Daphnia pulex: one gene and its partners. The main gene of each other region encodes a partner of the protein of the gene in region 2 in a complex. Links are inferred from orthologs where the notes say so. Each region holds a gene or a part of one and is shown on either strand. Other genes may lie near its edges.

Region 1 (2,711 bases), about 3.5 Mb from region 2:
CACTGCTTCCCAAGTAATAGTAGGGGGATTACTTGGATCTGTTTTAGCAGTTTCGTGGTTCTTATTTACGCAATTCGCTCTAACGCCGTGGTTCCCAACTGTTGCATCATGGTTAGTTTTCCTCAAAAGTGTTTCCATGCCGATAACATGCAATATTCATTGTTATTTCTTAGGAGAGTGTGTGAATGGCTATTGGTGAGAGATCAAACATTAATCCCTAACATTATCTGGTTTGAATATACATCTCACCGGAGCGAATCAAAGCACAGAAGTCGAAAATTGGTCTCCATGAAGTCCCAGTAAAACTGGCTTGAAAATAATTTTGTGTTCAGTAGCTGCAGTGCAATTGTTTGTCTGTTTACTGTGCCTACAAATCTGTTATTCTTGAAAGCCGGATATTTCGTGAATATTCTTTTTAGAAAAAACATTTTTGAGTTGTAATAACTCGTGCAAATCATATTTGATATTCCATTACAATGGAATACCTCACAATTACACTGGTTGGAAAAGGGTCAATACTGGTTACAATTCACATAGTGAAAATGGTTTTTTTATTATACCAAATTGTACAATGAGAAATGAGGTCAATTTACATGTTATTCATCATTCAATCCAAATTTAGCCTTCATGCTTTCTATCTCTTCTTTCTTCTTGTCTGTGTCAACCTTTTTGAAGGCCTTTGTAGGTTGATAATAGAGTACTACAAGGTAACGATTGCAGACATTAAAACCAGAAAGATGATCACAAGCATTTTTTGCATCAAAAATGTCTTCATAGACCACAAAAGCTGTTCCTCTGGTTTCTGGAGTGTTCCCTCTATCAAATCAAATGAGTTACAATTGATGCTAACATATATTATCAATTTCTACTTACACTCTGATTTGCCGAATAGCTCCGTATTTTCCAAAGATATCATACATTTCTTCTGATGTAATTTTATAGGGAAGATTTCGGACATATAGGATTCTGTTTACTTCAGGAGGTAACCTCACCTGAAAAATAAAAATATTTAAGAAATGCTCACATGGAAATCTTGATGCACAACAATCTTGACTCAATATAATAAACTACTAATGATAAAAAAAAATTAACACATGATTGCATACGTTTAGCTTTTTCTGCATTGCCATCGCCATTGTTAGGAGTAAAATTCAGTTAAAACAACGAAATCACTGATCAATACAATTCAAAACTGTGCTCGTGAACTTGACAATAAGAACGCCGCTTGGTATTCAAAATGGCTGCATAGCAGACGACGATTCTGAGCTGACAGAATAAACAAAACATTATTTTCGTGTAATTCAATTAATTGGTTTTATGCACTAGAAAATTTGATTCAAATTAAATACTAAAAAAATGTATATATATCTCATAAAAATCTTTTCCTAGCTCAATTTACTCTTCACATTTTAATATTTTGGCAATGCTGATGTTTTAGCAGACGAATTTGTGTCAAATGAGGAATAGCATACTCAAATAAGAGAAAAGGAAAGGGGAAAAGTTTCCACATCGTACGACCCGAATTCCTTTTTCTATTGGTTCGAATATCAAGATATGATGCAGATGGCCACTATTCGAGTCGCGTAAACTGAACTGATTCGCTACTTCCGATATCAATTAAATAAAGGGATTTTTAAGCTTCATCCGGTGCTGTGCATACAATAAAGAATTGCTGGGATATAACTAAAGAAAGCACATTGAAATTCTGCACATTAACAGATGTCTTCTGATCACGAAACACAATATGGTCGCACAATGGATAGTGTAGAAAACAGGGTAACAAATGGCCATGATTCAAGTTCCACAGTTGTTCATTCTCGTAAGTATTGTTATTTTTAATCAATTAGTTGTGATAATAAACAATTATTTTTATTCTACAGCTAGCATGCCCTGGTTTGGAATGGATATAGGTGGAACTTTAGTTAAATTAGTGTATTTTGAACCAACTGACATTGCTCCTGAGGAAGAGAATGTAAGTTCGTCAGAAATTGAAACCTTACACAACATTCAAAAGTATCTCACTAGTAACAATGCTTATGGAGAGACAGGGCACCGAGACATTCATCTGCAGGTGTTTACATCTTCTAATCTTTCCTATTTTATCAGAAATTGATTTCAGTATAATTTTCAAATTTCAGATGAGTTCAATTCCAATGGGAAACAGAGTAGGAACATTACATTTCATCAGATTTCCTACCTCTGAAATGGAGCAATTTCTGCAGCTAGCAAAATCTAAAGGATTTGCCTCTCTGTCCACAACCATTTGTGCCACAGGTGGAGGTGCATACAAGTTTGAAAAAGACTTTTTAAGGGTTTGTACACTTTATGCAGCTTTGATTTCTTTTTCTTTTTTCTTATCTTGTTATACGGTTGTCTGTAGGCTGTTAATTTAAATCTACATAAATCGGACGAACTGGAATCCCTTATCGGTGGGCTCTTGTACATTGAAGAAATTCATCGTCCCGAGGTTTATTATTGGGAAAATCCAACTGACGAAACTAAGTGCGTAAAAAAAACATATGACTTCAAGAACCCATATCCGTTTTTGGTAATTCCATCATTTAAAAACTTTATTAACAAACAAATGACTTTAATTCTGTTGTTGTTACTTTCATCTGATTTTATTTTCTAGCTAGTAAATATTGGTTCAGGTGTGAGTATACTTGCTGTGTATGGCCCAAATAATTTCAAACGAGTCACCGGTACCAGGT
Region 2 (4,454 bases):
CGCACAATGTGACACGCCCGCTGAGCACAACACAAATTAAAATTACCGTCGGCACGTTTTCTGACAGTCCACACTGCATTGGGGTTACCGGGAAGTTCAGAAACAGCCATCTCCGATACTTCCAATCCATGACGGAGAACACGAAGAGACGAACGAGAACTTCTACCACAAAGTGCATACAACTGGGGTGTATCCTCATTGGCTGTAAATTGAAAACAAATGTTAAAAACCTTTCAAAACAGGAGGAATTATCAAACCTACCGAGATCAGCAATATGGCAGGCCAGAACTGGAGATAAAGACTCCATCTCGTCCACGAGAACAAGATTCTTCAAAGGTCTCGGAGCAAAGAAGAAAGTATCTCCTTCCTCCAATGGTATAGTAGAGCTGAATTCGGGTTCATCGTCATCATCCCCCAAATGAGCAATCTGGTAAAGATAACTAATAACACAAGGAAAATTAATACACTTGAAAACCCATAAAACTACTTCAAATTTTGTAACCGAAATCAGAGTCAAAAATTATAATCAAAGTGTTATCTCAGGTGAAACACGGATGACAATACACATCATTTCAGCAAATAGAAAAAAAAATTTAAGAAAACTAACTGATTTCCAAATTCCGATGCGACGAATAGAAAGCCTGTCTTCAACACACACATGCTGGACGAAACTGGAACGGTATCAAAGTACTTGATTTTCAATTCTCTCACCACCTCTTCATCCATATCCATGGTGATCTTGAAAATATCGCCCTGCTCCGTTTGGACAAGGAAGAAAAACATGGCCTTGGTGCGATGGGAAGCCGAGCAGACGAAAATCATGCCCCTTTCCGGATCATCCAAGTCATTCTACAGAGAAAAAACTTATTACTACCGTCCTCAATACATGGAATAAATAACTTATCGGAGGTTCGTTCCAGGACAGCATGCAATATGCGCATTACAATCCAACGATGCAAACATCTCCAAGTATAGTTTAGGCACTAGTCGACCAGCACGTGTATAGAACACGGCTGGAGATACCGCGCGCCAAATAACATAATGAAATGATCAAACGTACCCTTCTTCTGGGGATTGGGCAACGAATGTCATGCTGTTCACCCAAATTCTTATATGTGATGTAGTTCTCGGAGCAAACCAGAACTCCGGAAGGTCCGTCGTTTCCTCCAGGAACAGTGATGAGGAAATTGGCGTGCTCATCCAACGGCTCACTATTAAAGTAAAGATATGTTCATCAAAATATTTCTTACATTGTCACACATAAGTCAACAATGTTACACACTATGATAGATAATGTCCCCCTTATGTATAGCTGCAATCTTTAAGTGACAAGAGAGCAGTAAAGTTAAGGGGTTTTGAAACCCAACCAGGCAAAACCAAAATCACCAAGATTTGTTACGCACCTATATTTCCTAACGACGTGGTTTAAACCCAGATCGAGTTCGTAGAATGTAAGCGTTTGTTGCGTCTTCTGTGCCGCCTCGCCTGTTGGATCACCATCGGCCTCTTCATAATCCATCTCCAAACAAGCAAATACAGGGTTTTCAAATCCCACGTCAACACCCACTATGTTGTAAACTAGAGTGTTTGACTTGTGAGCCTCCAGCGGAGAAGAAATGGTTAAATGGGCTTGGGCATCCCTGTTCAGAATGTAGACCAGTTTTTGCTTCTCAATAGCACCTGCAATGCAAAAAAAAAACATAAATGTTAAAGCAATGCGCACTCTCAAGCCACAAGATTTCGATTTTAAAAAATTCTCAGTAAAAACGTTAGATATCAGCATTATCTTTCTCAGATGGGGAAAGAAGACATAAAAACGTAACTCATCACTTGCAAGAATTTAAATTAAAAACGGATCAAAACTTACTGATCATAACAGCTCTGCCTTTGGGATCAATTGCCATGTACTGTCCAGGAACAATCCGACGACAACCGCTTTTGCCGTACGTTTCTTGGTGCACCTTATCAAACACATTTTTGGCAGCATTGTATTCAAGAATGACAATTCGCCCAGAGTCTGATCCGACCACAAGGTAATCTAAATACAGAATTAATGAAAGTTAGCAGGATGTATGTTTTAAAAATTATATTTGCACAACTCACCCTTATTTCCTCCAGTAAGCCTGAAACTAATGATTGACCTGATGATTCCAAAAACCTCTTGACTGAGAAGTGTGTGTACTTTGCCAGTGTTGGGATCCGGCTTCACAATTTCGAGTACCTTTCCACGAGCAATGACAATCTCCTGTTGCTTGGTGCCACTGAAGTTGCCCTGGACTGCCTGAATGATGCCAGTGGCACGCTGCAGAGTCAGATTGTAAAGATACATTTTCTTTCAAGTTGACGTGTCCAATGTGTAACTTGAACTGCCTAGATGAGCATCACCTGCGAAAATGTTATCAGATATAATTCTTACATTTGTCCAACATGTTTAATGACAATGTTACACACCATTTGAAAATTAATGTCCCCCTCATGTATAGCCACCAAACTTAATTCACAGAAAGGCGGTAAAGTTGTAAGGGGTTTTCTTTTCTTTAATAGCTAGACGAGTACGCGAAAGAAACTACAGCCCCGGCATCTCACCCGGCAAGGTTTTCAAATTGACATGCTTCAATATTTTAAACATCGCCAAAAACACACATTTAACCATCAAAATAACTGCTTTTCAACTATCTGGAACTAAAATGTGTAGTCAAACTTGAATTTACCTGTGGATGTTACAGATTTTCCATGATGGAAAATTCAGCAAAGGTTGAGTGAAATCTCTCTTGGCTCCGGCGTCGCGCTCGAGTTTAGGGTTCGACTTCTCGTGCATTGTGTGATAGGCAATATTTTTGAACATCTGACATCGACTCTCTACTTGGTCTATCCCTAAACACAGCATTTTCAATGCATTTGCGCTTTCTTTATCACAAGATTTTTTAAATTATTATTATTATTTATAGAACGATTTCATAATGCATTATACAATAAAATTGTGAAATTAATAAAAAATTTCAGTGGTGATAATCAAGAATGATTTATTCACAGCTGTTTTTATTACTCATAAAGTAATTCAAAAGACGTGTTCATATTCCGATCCCTTGCTATGCGCGCGAGTTTCTCTCTAGAACCACCATGCAGCCACGCTTTGAATAGACAAGTTCGGGATGCTGAGTTGCACAACCGCAAAATTAGGATCGTGCGCCAACGAGTTTTTGTAACGTTGTGGGGATAGTAGAAAGCGGGTTTTTTATTATTTAAGCATAGAATTACTTATCTAATCTTAGAAATGTTCAGGATTATCGTTGTTTAGAACATTCTGCTTTTTATAGAGTAATTTTAAATGTATAATTCAGCTTAGTTTACCCATTCAAATTAAAGAAAGTCCAAGCCTGGGATGCTGTTTAGTCTTTTCTTGTGTGTTTGAGCTTGTCACTTGTCAGCAGATCTGTCAAAAAACACAAGAAAAGACTAAACAGCATCCCAGGCTTGGACTTTCTTTAATTTTAATGGGTAAACTAAGCTGAATTATACATTTAAAATTACTCTATAAAAAGCAGAATGTTCTAAACAACGATAATCCTGAACATTTCTAAGATTAGATAAGTAATTCTATGCTTAAATAATAAAAAACCCGCTTTCTACTATCCCCACAACGTTACAAAAACTCGTTGGCGCACGATCCTAATTTTGCGGTTGTGCAACTCAGCATCCCGAACTTGTCTATCTTTTAAAATTTCTTATTCAAAAATTTTTATTTGCGGTGCGGTAAGGAATAACGAATAAGGGTGTTGAAGCACTTATCTTTTTTTTTCAATTCATAATGTACCGTTGAATTCATTTCGAGTCATTCAATTCATATTGACTGAAACAATCGAGTTCCCGAACTTTACCGATTAACTCGTCCTCTGTCGCCAGTGATGGAATGTGGAACGGCTTGCAGTCGGAAATCAACTCTTGACTTTTGATGTTTCCTATTAAGAACAAGTTTAGAGGTTTGAAAAAAAACGAAACTAGAAAAAACGAAGAATTTGATGTTGTCCTTGCATTCTTTGGAACAGCCTTTATTGCAGCATCTTCCAAAAGATAGCCGCAGCGAAATTCTTCGACGTTTGGAATTTAACATCGTCGACTTGTTGTTGTTGTATACGCGATATCAGCAGTCGGTAGTTTTGGGCCAACTTTCGTCGTCGTCGGGAACAGCATGAGATTATAGTTTTCTACACTGTCATAAATGCGTTGAGATAAGGCGCTGCTGGGCGCGGTATGAAATCCCCTTGTTCCGTAATATAACATGCTGCAACCGCTATAAGCCATGTACGCGCATTCGTGGTTTTTATCTGATGTACAGTAGAACAAGTTCTAACTTTCCATATGCCATCTTATTAAGGTTATCCTCTCTGACTATACAGAAACAAATCAACCTCAATAGGGATTTTTTAGAGCTACATAGTCACAGTGACGAACGC
Region 3 (4,101 bases), about 1.9 Mb from region 2:
GTCTTCGTCCTGTTAGAGTAAGAGTTTAAATTATTTTTAAAATCCCAAATATCTTTAAAAGCTGAACTTACGAGGTAAAAGGCACCGCGATGATAGTATTTCTGTAGGAACTTATATTTGCCCTTTGGTGCCTTGTTTGTGACTTCCTTTGGATTGTTCTTGAATTCCAGTCGCCGTTCTTCTTCGGTCATATTACGGATACGTTCAATTTCTTGTCGTTCTCTTTCTTCTGCCTCTCTTTCATCTCGGTCACGCTTATTGCGTTTAAGTTCACGTAATTTCCAGGTCTCGTATTCGAGTTCTTCATCCTCGGCATCCGTCAACACCGACAAGATTCCTGATTCAAGGTCTTTTTCGTCTTTGGCTTGCATTTCTTTTCTGACTTCTTCTTCAACAACCTGTTTAATAGATTTTTAATGCTTTTTTAGTTCAAAAAGTGTATAAATTTAAAAATGGTTTACCTTTAAGGTATAGCGGCGACGTTCTTCGGCAAGCTTTTTAGCTTCAAGTTCCATAAGCTTTTGTTTTTGCAATTCCTTTTCCTTCTCAGCTATGGTTATACGTTCTTTCTTGCTAACGAAGATGGGCTTCAGTCTTGGACCCGTTTCTTCCTCAGAATCTAGGATAAAAAACACAACAGATTTAGAGTCTTGTTCACATCAAGGGACTTTTATTTCAAACCTGTATATTCTTCATATTCTGAAGCTTCGTCATCTTCATCTTCCTCACTTTCCTTCTCCTCCTCTCTTGCCAACAACTCCTACAACAAAATTTGCAATTGAATTGAATTGATCAATGATCATACTACAAAGTATATTAACTTACTTCTTCTTGCTGTTTAATAACAGCCTTCTGACGTGCAATCATTCTTCTGCGCTCAATGTCATCTTCATCAAGATCTTCTGCCTCATCCTCTTCTTCACTTGATTCCCATCTTCGGGCATTTTTGCTAAAACTTACTTCTTCACTTTCTAAATGAGGTGTTACTTCATCTTCTTCTGTTCCAATAATTTCAGGCTCATGGATATGACGATGCCTTTCAATTCTATGGTCGTCAACTTCACGATTTAAAAGACGTTTTAATCTTCTGTCACTGTGAGCAGTAAGTGGAAGATCTGGGGTTTCGTCCCATTCTTTTTCAGGACTACAATTTAATCAAATTTTTTAAATATACAAGCATATAAATACATATCTACAATCAATAATTTAATACCTTTCTTCTACTGGTCTTCCTCTTGCCTGCTTTCTTGGTCTGATAAACTCTTCTTCATCACTATCATCTGAAGATGAATGTGTAGTAGCGTAGTCTGGTCGTTTGCCTGATACGTAACGATTGACTTTAACTTTTTGCATAGATATCTCCCCTTTGTCATTTTTCACAGGGATAGCACCCGCGGTTGAAAGGATAGGGACCACTTTGGATGACGACATTTTCACAAAAAATTGTCTTAATCTTAATACGGAACGACCATATACACGCGTTTGTTGTCTGAATTTTCACTCAATGTTTTTTTCGTTGCCATTGCATACTCTATTCAGGGCCAGTGGGCCACTCATCGGATCACCAGAGTGCAGAGTCCTCTGTTGGCGAATGAAATTGAAGACGACTACTGCGCCATCTAAGAACTTAAATTGAAATAAAGAATGACGTGACTTTTGCCGTCTCCTATGGCACGTAATATTGTATGACATGTTATTGCAGACTGTGACCAGTACCCAGCAATTGATGTTGCTGTAATCCACTGAAAATCTGATTATGCTGCTTCTAGGCAACACAATGCAAACACGATAGTTTTATCTGAGTTTTATTAGCTGATAGCAGGATCAGGATAAAGAGGCCGTGACCAAAATCCATGGAGACCTTTCGCCAAGTTCTATCCAGGGATTGGCAACCGTGAGGAATCTCGTTTACCTTGAAGTGCCTAAGAATCACGAAATAAATCTGAGAAAATTAATGTCGGAATTTAGGAATTTGGACCTCATTATGACGTTACAATAAATCACTCATTTATTGTATATAGCAACTACCTACTTACTACTTACTTTGTAGGAAATTACTTATGTCGTAGCTAGATTTTACACATCGCACTATTTGATCGCAATGGCGGTGGTTTTACGAGTTTCAGCTTATTATCAACTGTTTCGAAACACCAAAGTATTCAAAGCTCCGCATGACTTCGTGCAGTTTTCACCGGATCGTCGAAGATATTGAACTCAAGGACATCGATTAGACACACACTTCAAAATTTACCTCACGCTATATTCCACTAAATATATCCGCTCGAAAGTTTAACCGAATATTTTTGGTGGTTCTACCGCTTTTTTTTTATCGTCATAGCATAATAATGTGCGGTTTCGAAATTCTACTTCGATGTCTCCATTTTATTTCTTAATAAATAACTGTTTTGTACTGTAATAAAAGAAAGGAGCTAAAATAAATCTTTCCAGGCAACAAGCACTAGTGTGCTTATTTATAGAAAAATACCTAACCAGTAATAAGTATTGTGGGAGAAAAGCAAATCTTTTGAGTAGTCAAGTACACATGTGTCCGAAAAGCAACAACAAGAAATAACAATCCATCAAAAAAACGTCATAACATGGTGGCGGTGACTGTATAGAAACACTATGTACAAACCATGAACATATTTATGGTGAATATGCTTCTTTTGGAAAAAAAACAAAAGACTACGGCTAGCGGCTTACATGGTGAAATGTTTCAGTTGTAAAATGAGTAATTCAGCTTCCTTAAATGCACTTTGATAGCCGAGACAACCTGTTAGCTGTTGCTGCGGGGGGTTAAGGGAGGAGATAGGGATCCGGCTTGAGGCATTTTGTCGACTTCCGGCAACCTAAAAAGAAAAATGTGTTCATGAATTTCAACTTTTCTTTCGTAATCTTGACGCCAGAGACCGCTACTTAAATTGAAATTATAGACGTCGCTACTAAACACTTGCCGTATTGCCGATCAAATTTTTAGAAATGTTAGAAACTGCTAAATAAATTTTCCCCTTTCGAACCAATGAATCCTGCATTAAAAATTATAATAAAATAATTTATCACTCGTTGTTTCAATAATACATTTTAAAGATGTGGGAGGGAACACGTTGACGGTTAGGGAATGGTTTTGAAATCGAATCAAATCGAAGCTTGGGTGGGCGGATCAGAAGGTGGGCAGAAAAGGGGACACTGGCTGTCAGTGTTGGAATTCCATCTGCTCAATTACACTGGTGTGTGTATGTCATTCCTCTCGTTATTCCACTTGAATAAGTGTAATAATAGAAATAATTGATTAGTTGAGTGGAATGTGTTAAAGTCTGAAATAGCTAGTTGTTTTCAGACGCCGCCGTCACCAAAATTGGAAGAAGGAAAAAAAAGCCATCTGGTGAGATGCAAGGAGTACTATTCTGTCTGTTCATTACATTGGAAGGCCCGAGTTTTTTGGATCTTCTGAAGACTTGCAAAGATATCGGGAAGACCGGGTCGGGTGTTTGGGCGGCTAACTGAAGTGACAGGTGCCTTTTTATCTGAAGAAGCAAAGAAACTATTTATTTTCGCCTGTTTCCAACGCCTTCCATCGATTTCTTAGTGCTCACATCAAAAACAAAATAGTGTTTGTGCAAATAACGACTCCGGTTCATAGGAATGCCTTCGAAAATACTTCCATATTACAGCTAAAATTCCAGTAAACGTCATTGTTGAGTCTACATTAAAGTAAGTGGAAAACCTGATCTGATAATAGTATGTTAGCTAGTATGCTGTAAATGACTGAGCAAAGTCTGTTTATTTTTTTCTGATAACAACTTTTGCCACAAATGTCACTGAAAAGTTACCAAACTAGTTTGACACTTCAGTTCTACAGATGTGGATAAACTATATGGCTGTGGCTGACAGGGTCATTTTGTTGCTTGAAATAAAGTTCTTTTCTTGTAAAACAGCTTGTTAGTGAGCTGATTAGGAGAATGGGGAAAATACTGTCCAAAATATTCGGAAACAAGGAAATGAGGATACTCATGCTGGGGCTGGATGCAGCTGGAAAAACAAGTGAGATAAAGAATTTTATGTGTTGTCTGATAGCATTGGTTTTTTTCCAAGTTATACTTA

The links.
Region 1: splicing factor 3B subunit 3-like (region 2) and splicing factor 3B subunit 6-like share a complex: the UniProt entries of both Drosophila melanogaster proteins name them as parts of the splicing factor SF3B complex. The link is inferred for Daphnia pulex from reciprocal best matches to the Drosophila melanogaster genes Sf3b3 and Sf3b6.
Region 3: splicing factor 3B subunit 3-like (region 2) and microfibrillar-associated protein 1-like share a complex: the UniProt entries of both Drosophila melanogaster proteins name them as parts of the spliceosome B complex. The link is inferred for Daphnia pulex from reciprocal best matches to the Drosophila melanogaster genes Sf3b3 and Mfap1.

Annotation. Positions count from the first base shown.
Region 1 is NC_060019.1:12,853,492-12,856,202, forward strand, and holds splicing factor 3B subunit 6-like, read right to left. Parts: upstream 1,267-2,711; 5' UTR 1,137-1,266; coding exon 1,107-1,136; intron 993-1,106; coding exon 874-992; intron 817-873; coding exon 597-816; 3' UTR 535-596; downstream 1-534. Other genes in the region: dolichyldiphosphatase 1-like, read left to right, coding at 1-111, 174-303; pantothenate kinase 3-like, read left to right, coding at 1,720-1,819, 1,881-2,071, 2,139-2,312, 2,381-2,548, 2,633-2,709. UniProt on the Drosophila melanogaster protein: Involved in pre-mRNA splicing as a component of the splicing factor SF3B complex. SF3B complex is required for 'A' complex assembly formed by the stable binding of U2 snRNP to the branchpoint sequence (BPS) in pre-mRNA.
Region 2 is NC_060019.1:9,348,301-9,352,754, reverse strand, and holds the start of splicing factor 3B subunit 3-like, read right to left. Parts: upstream 2,867-4,454; 5' UTR 2,712-2,866; intron 2,386-2,711; 5' UTR 2,330-2,385; coding exon 2,104-2,329; intron 2,039-2,103; coding exon 1,868-2,038; intron 1,681-1,867; coding exon 1,404-1,680; intron 1,212-1,403; coding exon 1,061-1,211; intron 850-1,060; coding exon 608-849; intron 441-607; coding exon 262-440; intron 203-261; coding exon 47-202; intron 1-46. UniProt on the Drosophila melanogaster protein: Involved in pre-mRNA splicing as a component of the splicing factor SF3B complex, a constituent of the spliceosome. SF3B complex is required for 'A' complex assembly formed by the stable binding of U2 snRNP to the branchpoint sequence (BPS) in pre-mRNA.
Region 3 is NC_060019.1:11,265,397-11,269,497, forward strand, and holds the start of microfibrillar-associated protein 1-like, read right to left. Parts: upstream 2,847-4,101; 5' UTR 2,704-2,846; exon of another isoform or gene 2,636-2,703; intron 1,923-2,635; 5' UTR 1,432-1,922; coding exon 1,214-1,431; intron 1,145-1,213; coding exon 826-1,144; intron 761-825; coding exon 682-760; intron 620-681; coding exon 462-619; intron 399-461; coding exon 72-398; intron 10-71; coding exon 1-9. Other genes in the region: ADP-ribosylation factor 6, read left to right, coding at 3,960-4,041. UniProt on the Drosophila melanogaster protein: Required for pre-mRNA splicing.